4 linked regions of the Macaca fascicularis genome follow. The protein of the gene in region 1 purifies or fractionates together with the protein of each later gene. This does not show direct contact. Links are inferred from orthologs where the notes say so. Each region holds a gene or a part of one and is shown in the gene's direction. Other genes may lie near its edges.

Evidence for each region. Proteins that work in one complex are often made in the same cells at the same time.
Region 2: the proteins of ESR2 (region 1) and PRMT5 purify together in Homo sapiens (affinity purification with mass spectrometry; 3 studies listed by BioGRID and IntAct, with this or other methods). This does not show direct contact. The link is inferred for Macaca fascicularis from reciprocal best matches to the Homo sapiens genes ESR2 and PRMT5.
Region 3: the proteins of ESR2 (region 1) and SURF6 purify together in Homo sapiens (affinity purification with mass spectrometry; 3 studies listed by BioGRID and IntAct, with this or other methods). This does not show direct contact. The link is inferred for Macaca fascicularis from reciprocal best matches to the Homo sapiens genes ESR2 and SURF6.
Region 4: the proteins of ESR2 (region 1) and SRRM2 purify together in Homo sapiens (affinity purification with mass spectrometry; 3 studies listed by BioGRID and IntAct, with this or other methods). This does not show direct contact. The link is inferred for Macaca fascicularis from reciprocal best matches to the Homo sapiens genes ESR2 and SRRM2.

Annotation. Positions count from the first base shown.
Region 1 is NC_088381.1:132,120,478-132,123,996, reverse strand, and holds part of ESR2 (estrogen receptor beta), read left to right. Parts: intron 1-2,850; 5' UTR 2,851-2,940; coding exon 2,941-3,302; intron 3,303-3,519.
Region 2 is NC_088381.1:90,670,537-90,673,693, reverse strand, and holds part of PRMT5 (protein arginine N-methyltransferase 5), read left to right. Parts: intron 1-83; coding exon 84-247; intron 248-1,297; coding exon 1,298-1,459; intron 1,460-1,627; coding exon 1,628-1,705; intron 1,706-1,795; coding exon 1,796-1,854; intron 1,855-1,940; coding exon 1,941-2,063; intron 2,064-2,149; coding exon 2,150-2,325; intron 2,326-3,157. UniProt on the Homo sapiens protein: Arginine methyltransferase that can both catalyze the formation of omega-N monomethylarginine (MMA) and symmetrical dimethylarginine (sDMA), with a preference for the formation of MMA.
Region 3 is NC_088389.1:6,044,408-6,047,414, forward strand, and holds the end of SURF6 (surfeit locus protein 6), read left to right. Parts: intron 1-769; coding exon 770-982; intron 983-1,181; coding exon 1,182-1,661; 3' UTR 1,662-2,507; downstream 2,508-3,007. UniProt on the Homo sapiens protein: Binds to both DNA and RNA in vitro, with a stronger binding capacity for RNA. May represent a nucleolar constitutive protein involved in ribosomal biosynthesis or assembly.
Region 4 is NC_088394.1:3,609,251-3,612,769, reverse strand, and holds part of SRRM2 (serine/arginine repetitive matrix protein 2), read left to right. Parts: intron 1-43; coding exon 44-76; intron 77-259; coding exon 260-310; intron 311-476; coding exon 477-569; intron 570-654; coding exon of another isoform or gene 655-697; exon of another isoform or gene 698-917; intron 918-1,211; coding exon 1,212-1,410; intron 1,411-2,457; coding exon 2,458-3,519. UniProt on the Homo sapiens protein: Required for pre-mRNA splicing as component of the spliceosome. As a component of the minor spliceosome, involved in the splicing of U12-type introns in pre-mRNAs.

The DNA of each region.
Region 1 (3,519 bases):
TTAAATCTTTTGGGGAGTCTTTCCTTTGACCAGTTTATATCTCTGTTTTAGAGGAGGGCTTCTCAACCAGAATGGGTTTGTTGATTTATTTTTATAGACCTCTGGTAGAGAAGAGACCCCCCCCTTTTTAATTTTTTTTACTACCTGTTGTCCTGTCTCAGAGAACTATTACAATGGTGTAAGTTCATCATTCCTTCCCCTTATTATGGCTCTGCTTAGGAAGAAAAAATCTTTGCCTTGGCTACCAAGTTCCTATCTATTCAAGATGCCACTGACAAAGAGTGAATCTGTGAATCACATGAATCTGGTATATCTGAAATATATCCAAACAAAAAGCACCTAGCCTTTTAATGACTCTCCAGAAGTCAGTTCTCTGACTGTAATTATCATCCCTTTGGGGGTATGTGGAAATTCTACACAAGTTGATTGGTGATATGTTGAGATGTGAGATCTATATTTTCTAAGCAAAGTTGCCATGCACCTGATTGATTGGCTAGGTGCATCCTGGCGTTTGTCGTTTGTTGGTGTGGTCTGATAGTTGGTTTCACCACTGCTGGGTACCCAGAGTCATCACATCCATAGAGACAGAATGTAGGCTGGTGGTTGCCAGGGGCTGGGGGAGGGGAGGAGTGGGGAATTTGTTTAACAGATAGAGGCTTTTAGTTTTGCAAGATGAAATGAGTTCTAGAGATTGGTTGCACAACAATGTGAATATACTTAACACTACTGAACTTTATACTTAGAAATGGCTAGGATGGTAAATTTTATGTTACCTGTATTTTAATACACACACACACAAAAACTTTGGGCCAGGCACGGTGACTTACACCTGTAATCCCAGTACTTTGGGAGGCTGAGGTGGGCAAATCATAAGGTCAGGAGTTCGAGACCAGCCTGGCCAACATGGTGAAATGCCGCCTCTACTAAAAATACAAAAAATTAGCCGGGTTTGGTGATAGGCATCTGTAATCCCAACTACTTGGGAGGCTGAGATAGGAGAATCGCTTGAACCTGGGAGGTGGAAGTTGTAGTGAGCCAAGATCGCGCCACTGCACTCCAGGCTGGGTGACAGTGTGAGACTCCATCTCAAAAAAAAAAAAAAAAGCAAAAAAAAAGTAATGAGAGCTTACTTCAAGATGGCAGCAAAAGACAGACAGAGGAAAAAAGGCATTGGGAAAAAAAACCAACGTGCCTTGGTGATTAAAGTTAACTGAGTCAAGGGGAGAAGTCAAAGGTAACTATAATAGGCTTTTTCTATTAACACAAATAGGGAATGAGTGGTTTTGGGAAAGAAAGTGATGAATTATACCTCAGATATTATATTGTCTATTACTGTGGCCAGGCACAGTGGCTCACACCTGTAATCCCAGCACTTTGGGAGGCCAAAACAGTCAGATCACTTGAGGCGAGAAGTTCGAAACCAGCCTGGCCGACATGGTGAAACCCTGTCTCTACTAAAAACACAAAAATTAGTGTGGTGGCATTTGCGTGTAATCCCAGCTACTCAGGAGGCTGAGGCATGATAATTGCTTGAACCTGGAAGGCAGAGGTTGCAGTGAGCTGATATGGCGCCATTGCATTCCAGCCTAGGTAACAAGAGCGAAACTCTGTCTCAAAAAAAAAAAAAAAAAAGATTTGCCTGTAATGAGCCAGTACCCCCAGCTTTGTGCTCACTTTACATGCAAAAATTATGTTGTTTACTGTAGAGCAAAAATTGAAGGGCACATTCAAAACTGAGAGGTAGGCCAGGTGTGGTGGCTTACGCCTGTAATCCCAGCACTTTGGGAGACCGAGGCAGGTGGATCACTTGAGATCAGGAGTTCGAGACCAGCCTGGCCAACATGATGAAACCCCATCTCTACTAAAAAATACAACACATTAGCCAGTCATGGTGGTACACACCCGTAGTACAGCTACTTGAGAGGCTGAGGCAGGAGAATCGCTTGAACCTGGGAGGCAGGAGGTTGCAGTGAGCTGAGATCACGCCACTGCACTCCAGCCTGGGTGACAGAGTGAGATCCTGTCTCAAAAACAAAAAAAAGACAAAAGCAAAACAAAACCTAGAGGCAACAGATTGATAAGTGACACAGTTACACTGGTCAGTCTCTTCTGCTAATACCTGTTGTCTTTCATTATTGAAGATTCATAACATGTTTTCTTTTTTATTTTTTTTGAGATATGGTCTTACTCTATCACCCAGGCTGGAGTGCGGTGGCATGATCTCTCCTCACTACAAACTCTGCCTCCTGGGTTTAAGCAATCCTCCTGCCTCAGGCTCTTGAGTAGCTGGGACAACAGGCACATGCCACCATGCCTGGCTAATTTTTGTAGAGATGAGGTTTCACCATGTTGCCCAGGCTGGTCTCGAACTCCTGACCTCAAGTGATCCACCCACCTCAGGCTCCCAAAGTGTTGGGATTACAGGCGTAACTCACTCACTTGGCCTCAGTGTATTTTAATATTGGTTGAGACTAGCCTTGCTCATTGATCTTCTCTTTTAGGGTTTACTTGGTTATTCTTGCTTATTTTTCCATAACAACTTTCATTTTTATTTAATCCTGTGTTTTCTAGTTTTAAAGACTATTTTATAATAAATTTTCATCATTAAACTCTTGTGCTTAAACTGTTGATTAAACAAACAAACAATGAAGAGATGAATGAAGCAGAAAATGTGAGTTTCATGCCTCACATTCCCACTCCTCTGAGGTTAATATTTTCATATATATATTTTCAGGATGTATTTGTAATCTCATACAAATGTGTGTATTTTTTTAATGAAAATATTTAAATTTTTGTAGTTACACCTGTAGCTCTAACTAACTTGGCAATATCCTCTGTGTTTCTTTACAGCCATTATACTTGCCCACGAATCTTTGAGAACATTATAATGACCTTTGTGCCTCTTCTTGCAAGGTGTTTTCTCAGCTGTTATCTCAAGACATGGATATAAAAAATTCACCATCTAGCCTTAATTCTCCTTCCTCCTACAACTGCAGTCAATCCATCTTACCCCTGGAGCACGGCTCTATATACATACCTTCCTCCTATGTAGAGAGCCACCATGAATATCCAGCCATGACATTCTATAGCCCTGCTGTGATGAATTACAGCAGTCCCAGCAATGTCACTAACTTGGAAGGTGGGCCTGGTCGGCAGACCGCAAGCCCAAATGTGTTGTGGCCAACACCTGGACACCTTTCTCCTTTAGCAGTCCATCGCCAGTTATCACATCTATATGCAGAACCTCAAAAGAGTCCCTGGTGTGAAGCAAGATCACTAGAACACACCTTACCTGTAAACAGGTAAGTCCAGTCTTCATTCTGAATTATAGTTCCTAGCCATTTCTCAAATCACTTTATGGTTTAGTGAGAAGGAAATAATATGTTAGACAAGGTCTTTATTTTAATTTTAATTTTTATTTTTTTGAGACGGAGTCTCGCTCTGTCGCCCAGGCTGGAGTGCAGTGGCACCATCTTGGCTCACTGCAAGCTCCACCTCCCGATTTCACGCCATTCTCCT
Region 2 (3,157 bases), about 41 Mb from region 1:
AGAGGTAAACAGATTTTTCACAAAGGAGCAAGGAAGGGTTTCTTGCCTGGCAGTGGTTGACAGTTTTTCTTTGTCTCATGTAGCTCTTGAAATTGGGGCTGACCTCCCATCTAATCATGTCATTGATCGCTGGCTTGGGGAGCCCATCAAAGCAGCCATTCTCCCCACTAGCATCTTCCTGACCAATAAGAAGGGATTTCCTGTTCTTTCTAAGATGCACCAGAGGCTCATCTTCCGGCTCCTCAAGGTGAGTGGTAGGAGGGTTCTAAAGGTGGTCCAGCTATACATCTTGCCTTATTTACCTGTGTATGATCGTTTTTTCCTGTGAGGCTGACTCTTTTTCTTTGGTTTCTGGGGAGCAATTTCAGTGAAGTTGGGAGTCTTGAGAACAAAAAGATAAATGCCAGTAATAGCCCTAGAAACCTTTCAAAACAAACCAAACCTCATGAGAACTTTGCAGAAGGTTTCATTTAGGAAGTTACAGCAAGGATCCATGAGGCTCTTTGGGTGTTGATGATACTTTTATGGCATAAGAGGGCTTTTCTTTTCTTTTCTTTTTTTTTTTTGAGACAGAGTCTCACTCTGTCACCCATACTGGAGTGCAGCGGTGCAAACTCAGCTCACCAGAACCTCTGCCTCCCAGGCTTAAGCGATTCTCCTGAGTAGCTGGGATTATAGGTGTGCACCACTACTACCCGACTAATTTTTGTATTTTTAGTAGAGACGGGTTTTACCATGTTGGCCAGGCTGGTCTTGAACTCCTGACCTCAAATGATCCACCTGCCTCAGTCTCCCAAAGTATTGGGATTACAGGCGTGGGCCACCACACCCGGCCAAGAGGGCTTTTTACAAGTTTACTGAGGCCTCATGCTGCCTTTGTTGGTATTGGAACAGATACTAGAGAACTGTTGGTCTGGGCCAGGCACAGTGGCTCACGCCTGTAATCCTAGGACTTCGGGAGGCTGAGGCGGATGGATCATCTGAGGTCAGGAGTTTGAGACCAGCCTGGCCAACATGGTGAAACCCCGTCTCTACTAAACATACAAAAATTAGCCAAGCCTGGTGGCACGCACCTGTAGTCCCAGCTACTTGGGAGGCTGAGGCAGAAGAATTGACCCTGGGAGGTGGAGGTTGCAAGTAAGCCAAGATCACGCCATTGCACTCCAGCCTGGGCAACAGAGCGAGACTCCATCTTTAAAAAAAAAAAAAAGGAGAGCTGTTGATCTGGGCCATATTTTACACTGGGCCCCGAATCTTGGTTTGCGGGCTGTATCTGATAGTCTGACTTTTCTTACAGTTGGAGGTGCAGTTCATCATCACAGGCACCAACCACCACTCAGAGAAGGAGTTCTGCTCCTACCTTCAGTACTTGGAATACTTAAGCCAGAACCGTCCTCCACCTAATGCCTATGAACTCTTTGCCAAGGGCTATGAAGACTATCTGCAGTCCCCGCTTCAGGTGGGTCTGGAGTGCACTGAGAGTAGGAAGGTGGGGTGAAAATGTATCTTGAGAATATATGCCTCCAAATGTTACTAAAACTCAGAAAGCAGTGGAAAGTTTTTGATATTTTAGTGCATTGTCCTTTGCCAGAAACTGGCTAACTTTATCCTTTTCCTCATTCATCAGCCACTGATGGACAATCTGGAATCTCAGACATACGAAGTGTTTGAAAAGGACCCTATCAAATACTCTCAGTATCAGCAGGTACTGTGTGGTATGCAGGGTGAGGAAAGCACAGGGCTAGCATGACCTAGGGAGATTGGGATTACAACCATAGGATATTCTCTCCTCCAGGCCATCTATAAATGTCTGCTAGACCGAGTACCAGAAGAGGAGAAGGATACCAATGTCCAGTGAGTGCTTTCCCCTCAATCCCAGGGACTTGCATATCTACATCTGTATATGCCAAGTCTGCTTGACTCTTCCCTTTCTTTGTTAGGGTACTGATGGTGCTGGGAGCAGGACGGGGACCCCTGGTGAACGCTTCCCTGCGGGCAGCCAAGCAGGCTGACCGGCGGATAAAGCTGTATGCTGTGGAGAAAAACCCAAATGCCGTGGTGACGTGAGTAGCAGCCTGCTTGCTAGGAAGTTAGTCCCCATTGCCAAATTTCCTTAACATGTCTCCTCACCTTATTGTCTCTGTTTCAGGCTAGAGAACTGGCAGTTTGAAGAATGGGGAAGCCAAGTGACCGTAGTCTCATCAGACATGAGGGAATGGGTGGCTCCAGAGAAAGCAGACATCATTGTCAGCGAGCTTCTGGGCTCATTTGCTGACAATGAATTGTCGCCTGAGTGCCTGGATGGAGCCCAGCACTTCCTAAAAGGTGCACCCAGGTTGGGGTGTAGGTGGAGGGTGATGATGGATGAGACATCTACCTGGGAGGAGGGTACAGGGTTTAGGGGAAAGTGAGTTGGACCTGGGTCACATCATATGAGTTTGAGAGCTATTGCTCCACTGCCTCTGTGCCCTTAGCAAATGAAGTCGTCTCTTCAAACCTCAGTGTTCATATTTGTAAAATGAAGGGAGTGGGCCAGGTGCTGTGGGAGGCCAAGGTGGGAGGTCAGGAATTCGTGACCAACCTAGGCAACATGGCAAAACCCTGTCTCTACTAAAAATACAAAAATTAGCCAGGCGTGGTGGTGCACGCCTGTAATCCCAGCTACTCGGGAGGCCGAGGCACGAGAATCGTTTGAACCCGGGAGGAGAAGGTTACAGTGAGCCAAGATTGTGCCACTGCACTCCAGCCTGGGCAATAGAGCGAGACTCCGTCTCAAAAAAATAATAATAATGAAATAAAAAATAATGAGGGGAATGGACTCCTTGAGCTGACGTATGTACCCTGAGCTTAGCTTTCATCAGGAACTTTTATGGGACTTTGTGACCCCACAAAAGTTAAGAACTACCAGATTAGACTATCTTGGGTTCTTTCAGTTTTTATCTGTGTGACTCTGTAAATTAACCTAGAAGTGGAATCATCCGTGACAGTAGTTGGAAGGCTGGCTTAATAATGTGACAACATGCATTTGTCTCTTTCTTCCATGCCCATGCCAACGTTGGTTGGTTTTGACATGGGAGGTTTGATCCTTCTGATCCTTCAGTTAGTACAGACACACCATTTCCCTCCCTCTGGAACTAATTTGACTCTCCTGCTGTGC
Region 3 (3,007 bases), on another chromosome or scaffold:
CTTCTGGGAAGCTGCCTTTGCTGAACTGACACTGGGATAGGCACCTCCTGTGTCTGTTTCTCCGAATGTCGTGATAGTCCTGTGAGTTGAGCAGGGACCTGAGCTGAGTGGCTAGGCACAAGAAGCGCCAGTGCAGCTCTTTGTGCTGAATGGTGCTGTCTCCTCTGTGTTGGCCCCTACCCACCCTTGCCCTGGGGCCCTTCCTTAAGGCCTCATGCTGTGTGGGGGACAGTCCCCAGCTACTCTCCTTCGCCATCCCAAGGTACAGTGTATAGTTCCTAAGAGGCGATCAAGGCTCCGGGCCCTTGTTGCTGAAGCACAGGCCTCATTTGGGCTGGTGTAGGACTCTTGTTGGCCCGGGAATGGGAAAGGCCACTGGGGAGAGCTTAGTTTGGGTACCTCGTGAACAGAATAGGCAGCAGTCAGGACAGGTGTTCAGACCCCAACTCCAAGTTCTAGGCAGTGGTGTTGACCCTCATCTATGAAACAATGTATGACATGTGGAACCATGTTTGTAACGTATCCTGGCACGGGGTAAGCACCTGGGAATTGGAAGCCGTGATTCTTATTTGGGGGTCCCTTCTCCCTTTTGGGGTCATTTGCATTTTCGAGGAACATCCTCTGTTGTGGAACATTGAACTCCGTGGGCCCCTTGTTCTGCGTGAGGATTTCCTCACCTGCCTTCCAGCCCTGATTCTTCTCAACCATGGGCCAGGCTGGGGTACCGTGGTGTCAAGAGAACTTTAATGAGTGGGCGCCTGTCCCCCAGGGCAGTGCCAAGGAGCTGTCCCCTGCCGCTCTGGAGAAAAAGCGGAGGAGAAAGCAGGAACGGGACCGGAAGAAGAGGAAGCGAAAGGAGCTGCGGGCGAAAGAGAAGGCCAGGAAGGCTGAGGAGGCCGCGGAGGCCCAGGAGGCGGTGGAGCCAGCCCCAGAGGGTGCTTGCACGGAGCCGTGGGAGCCGCCGGGGCTGATCTTCAATAAGGTGAGTGGGAGCTGGGTCCTCGGGCGGGCTGGGTCGGCTTCAGGCCTCAGCGTTGCTCCTTGTTAGCTTCATGACCTCCCTCCGGGCCCCTTCGCGTCTGTAAGGTGGTGACGGGGACAGCGCAGTTCCCTTAGGGTGCCGGCCAAGACTGGGGCCTCGTGTGGGGCTGGCATGAGCTCATGTCATACCTTCTTCCCAGGTGGAGGTGAGCGAAGATGAGCCGGCCAGCAAGGCTCAGCGCAGAAAGGAGAAGAGGCAGAGGGTGAAGGGGAACCTGACGCCGCTGACCGGGAGGAACTACCGGCAGCTGCTGGAGCGCCTGCAGGCACGGCAGAGCCGGCTGGACGAGCTGCGCGACCGGGATGAGGGGAAGGCGCAGGAGCTGGAGGCCAAGATGAAGTGGACCAACCTCCTGTACAAGGCGGAGGGCGTGAAGATCCGCGATGACGAGCGCCTGCTGCAGGAGGCCCTGAGGCGTAAGGAGAAGCGGAGGGCGCAGCGGCAGCGCCGGTGGGAGAAACGCACGGCCGGCGTGGTGGAGAAGATGCAGCAGCGCCAGGACCGGCGTCGGCAGAACCTGCGCAGGAAGAAGGCGGCCCGCGCCGAGCGCCGCCTGCTCAGGGCCCGCAAGAAGGGCCGCATCCTGCCGCAGGACCTGGAGCGCGCAGGCCTGGTCTGAGTCTTTCCCACCTGGGGCTGCCGTCTCTGTCCTGGGAGGCTCCAGGGGACCCTCTGAGTCCTTGATGCTGGCTCTGTCCCAGGATCTCCACAGACCGCGGCCTCTGCGTGTGAGGGGGACACTGTCATGCTCTGCTGAGTTGTGAGGGCTCAGATCACGTGTGTGAAAGAGAATGTTTCTGCGTCATCCTTGAAAACAGGGTCCGGGGCCTTCAGACCCGGGGAAAGGGCGAGCCACACTGGGGCCCAGTCTTCTTTCCCGGGCCTGAAAGCTTCCCCGAGGTTTGCAGGGTCAGGGAGGAGGAACGGTGGGGGTGGGCAGTCACTGCCCCTTCCCCCGGCCTGTGTTCGCAGGAGCCACAGGACAGAAGAGGGTGGCCTCCGCTGCCGAGCCCCGTTAGTCTGCAGCTGACTGGAACAGAGGACAACCCTGAGGTGTGGCGTGTGGGCACCTGGCACTCGGGAGTGGTGGGAGCACGTCCAGGCATGGTGCGTCCTGGGGCAGAACGCTGCGTCTCCTCCCCCTTCTCTTGGCTTCTGCCTGTTGGGGTCTCATTCCTTTCTGTTCCTCTGCCTCGGGGCGGCATTTCACCTTCGAATTCAGAGGGAGGGAGGGAGCAGTACCTTCCCAGAGTCCACAGGTGTGAGTTGGGTCAAGTGCATTGGCCCAAGGGAAAGAGAAAGAGTAAAAGCTGGAGAGAGTGAAGTGAATGGAGGATACAAAATGGAATGGAAGAATTAAATCCAAAGCTCCAGGCAATCAAAATGAATACAGGTTGAATAAAACTCAGGTGAATTTTAGTGACACGTGGATGATAACGCTGTAAATAAAATTCTTTTGATGAAACTCTCCAGTTAACGAGACGAAGATTGTAACCGAAAGGGAGCTGGTGTGACTTTTAATAGTGTCCACTGATGAAAAAGCCCCGTGAAAGATCCGATGTGAGATGGGTATGAGCTTGAGCTAGGAGACAGACAACAGTATCTGGAAAGAATACAGTCTTTCCAAGCGTAATTGGAACATGGATGGAAATTGACCACCTACTTTGTCTAGAAAAGAAGTCGTAAGATATTTGAAGGAATCAGTGTCGTTACCTGACCACGTCCCAATGTCGTTAAAAAAATTTTGAGCTAATTTTTTTTTTTTTTTTTTTTTAGACAGAGTCTCGCTCTGTCCCCCAGGCTGGAGTGCAGTGGCACGATCTCGGCTCACTGCAACTTCTGTCTACCAGGTTTAAGCGTTTCTCCTGCCTCAGCCTCCCGAGTAGCTGGGACTATAGGCGCCCGCTACCACGCCCTGCTAATTTTTTGTATTTTTAGTAGAGACAGGGTTTCACTGTGCTAGCC
Region 4 (3,519 bases), on another chromosome or scaffold:
GCAGAGGTGTTTTTTATGTATTTTCTTCTCTTTTTTCCGACAGGTCAGAATCCGAGTCCAAGAAGCGTAAGCATAGGTAAGAGCTCTTTAACTCATTGGGGGCACAGTGGCATGTAGAGTGGTGATTTCTTTTTCTTGAAGTGAAGCTCAATACCTTGATCTTTCTCCTGTTAACATTCCCTAACTCTTTACATTTCACTTTTGGTTTTATTTCCTTTTTTAAAAAAGTTACTTTTAACAATCTTTCCTTATTTCTCAGGTCTCCCACTCCAAAGAGCAAACGTAAATCTAAGGACAAAAAGCGAAAGCGGTGAGTGAATTTGTGGGGAATTTGCTTAGAAAGTAAGTGAACACCACCTTAGTGGGAAGGGGTTGAGTCAGTTATGTCCCTAACTGGTAAAAGGTTGAGGGGTAGGTGAGGAAAATCCAGGGCAGGTACAGCAGTACCCTGAGCTGTGGCGGTGGTCTTCCTTCAGGTCTCGAAGTACAACACCAGCCCCCAAGAGCCGCCGGGCCCACCGTTCAACTTCTGCTGACTCTGCTTCCTCCTCTGATACTTCCCGCAGTCGGTAAGGGGTAGTCCAGGAGGAAGGGAGGGAGAGGGAATGATGGGTTAATTAATTTAATATTTATTGAGCGCCCACGGTGTGCTAGGCGCTGCACAGACCATTCGGAAGACACGGTCCCTGCCCTCTAGGAGCTGACAGGCTAAAGCAACAGGATGGACAGACATATACATTTCCCCTTCTCTTTTTTTTTTTGTTTTTGTTTATTTGTTATTTTTTGTTTCGTTCTGATGTATATGGACTGCCAGAATAGGGGGGGTGGTGGTTTGTTCGTGGTGTCTGGGGGAGGAAGGAATCCTTACCCTGGCTTCCTTAATCGGGGAAGGCTTCCTGAAGGAGGTGGGCTCAGAGGTGAGTTGTGAATGAAGCGGGTAGGGAGTGGGCTGGGTGGATGGTTTCGGGATGTTTGGGGGAGGTGAGTGAAGGGGTAGAGGGAGAACACTGTTTGGGATTGTGTTGGGAAGAGAAGAACCAAAGTGGACTGTACTTGCATTTCAGTGAATGATTTGAGTTATGCGACTAAGCAGGCTTTTTGGAAGAGGGTTGTACAGTTGGAAAAGGTGGATGGGAGTTGGGGAGGGGGTTTCCTGTTCTCCCTTTGAGCTGATTTCCTTCCTCTCCCCCATCCTCAATTAACTCCTGCAGGTCTCGAAGTGCTGCAGCTAAAACTCATACAACTGCCTTGACTGGGCGAAGTCCTTCCCCTGCTTCAGGGCGACGAGGGGAGGGAGATGCACCTTTCAGTGAACCAGGTACTACCAACACACAACGGCCTAGTAGCCCGGAGCCTGCTACAAAACAGCCTAGCAGCCCTTATGAAGACAAAGATAAAGACAAGAAGGAGGTATGTTCCTGAGTTGGTGATGTTCATTGGATTGCAAGTGTATAGATTTAGGATAAACTTGTGACATGAAAGGGAGAGGTAGTAACTTACTAAAATAAATTCGGTTATTTTTTTCTGCATTGATCTCCCAGTTTTCTTACTGTATCTGCAGAACTTGTAGTGTTGTTACTAGACTGAATTGTGAACCCTTTAGAATCAAATCTCACTGGATACTAATAGGTTTTATATTGTATCTTGTTTATACACAGAACTGGAACAAAAGTTGTATTTTATCTGTGTACGCCGTGTTTCTTTTCTTTTCTTTTTTCATTAAATGCTCGTTGTGTCTCACTAAAACTGTTTAATCCATTGGGGTGCCACCAATAGTTTGAATGAAACACTGGAATAGTCTTCAGTAGTTTTCTTTTCTAATTTTAAGCGTTAATCATTTCCTCTTGCTTTAGTGATTACAGTGTAAATTCTTGGCCTCTGTCATCAATTTTCCATGTCATCCAGGATTACCTTTCCAAATTACAAGTTGGTTGACCTCAGAAACTTAACTGCTTCCTTATTGCTTTTGAATTACATTTAAGGCTTTTAATAATTTGGTCTTTTTCTCATTTCCTGTACTCTTTCCATCCTGGTCTGCTTTTCTACTCTTCAAACAAATCATGTTCTCACATCTTTATTCATGTTGTTTCTTTTCCTTTAATAGAGTTATTCTTAAAAGGTGAAGTTGCCATTCGCTTTAGGAAACTGCTTATTTTTCCATTTAAAGATAGTTTTTTCCGCTTTGATAACATTTCGTAGTGGTATTTGTTGTTAAATGTAGTAGTGTGTTAGTTATTTGCGTTTAGTGTTTCAGTTTTAAGATTCTCAGACTATCCATATCTTCATATGTTTTCCCCACTGTTCTTTATATAATTCCTTGTTATTGAATGAAAGTGATTGCTTGTGGTCAGGGGATGTGTAAAAGAAAAGTTATTGGAAAGGGTGTTGGGATCTTAGGAGTGATGTGAAGTCTTGGCGTTTATGAATCCCTATCCCTACTCTCTCTTTCACTCTTAGAAATCTGCAGCTCGACCTAGCCCCTCTCCGGAAAGGAGCAGCACAGGCCCAGAACCACCTGCTCCCACTCCGCTCCTTGCTGAGCGACATGGCGGCTCCCCACAACCACTTGCAACAACCCCCTTAAGCCAAGAGCCAGTGAACCCCCCATCTGAGGCCTCTCCCACTCGGGGCCGTTCACCACCTAAGTCTCCTGAGAAACTTCCCCAGTCTTCTTCCTCAGAGAGCAGCCCACCATCCCCTCAACCTACCAAAGTTTCTCGGCATGCCAGCTCTTCCCCAGAAAGTCCTAAACCTGCTCCAGCTCCGGGGTCCCACCGAGAGATTTCTTCTTCTCCCACATCCAAGAATCGCTCACATGGCCGAGCAAAACGGGATAAATCACATTCTCATACCCCTTCCCGTAGGACGGGGAGGTCCCGTAGCCCTGCCACCGCTAAGAGAGGGCGATCTCGGTCTCGAACCCCTACAAAGAGAGGTCATTCTCGATCCCGATCTCCCCAGTGGCGTAGGTCCAGGTCTGCACAGAGGTGGGGAAGATCTAGAAGCCCCCAGCGACGTGGCCGCTCTAGGTCTCCTCAGCGACCAGGCTGGTCTAGGAGCAGAAATACCCAGAGAAGAGGCAGGTCTAGGTCAGCAAGGCGAGGGAGGTCCCACTCTAGATCCCCAGCCACTCGGGGCAGATCTCGTTCTAGAACACCAGCCCGGCGGGGCAGGTCACGCTCTAGAACACCTGCCAGGCGGAGATCACGATCCAGAACACCTACCAGGCGTAGGTCTCGGTCTAGAACACCAGCCCGGAGGGGCAGGTCTCGGTCTAGAACACCTGCTAGGCGCAGATCTAGGACCCGATCGCCAGTACGACGGAGGTCTCGTAGTAGATCACCAGCCAGGAGAAGTGGCAGGTCACGCTCCAGAACCCCAGCTAGACGTGGCCGCTCACGCTCCAGAACCCCAGCCAGACGTGGCCGCTCACGCTCTAGAACCCCAGCTAGACGCAGTGGTCGCTCACGCTCCAGAACACCAGCCAGGAGAGGGAGGTCTCGATCTAGGACACCAAGA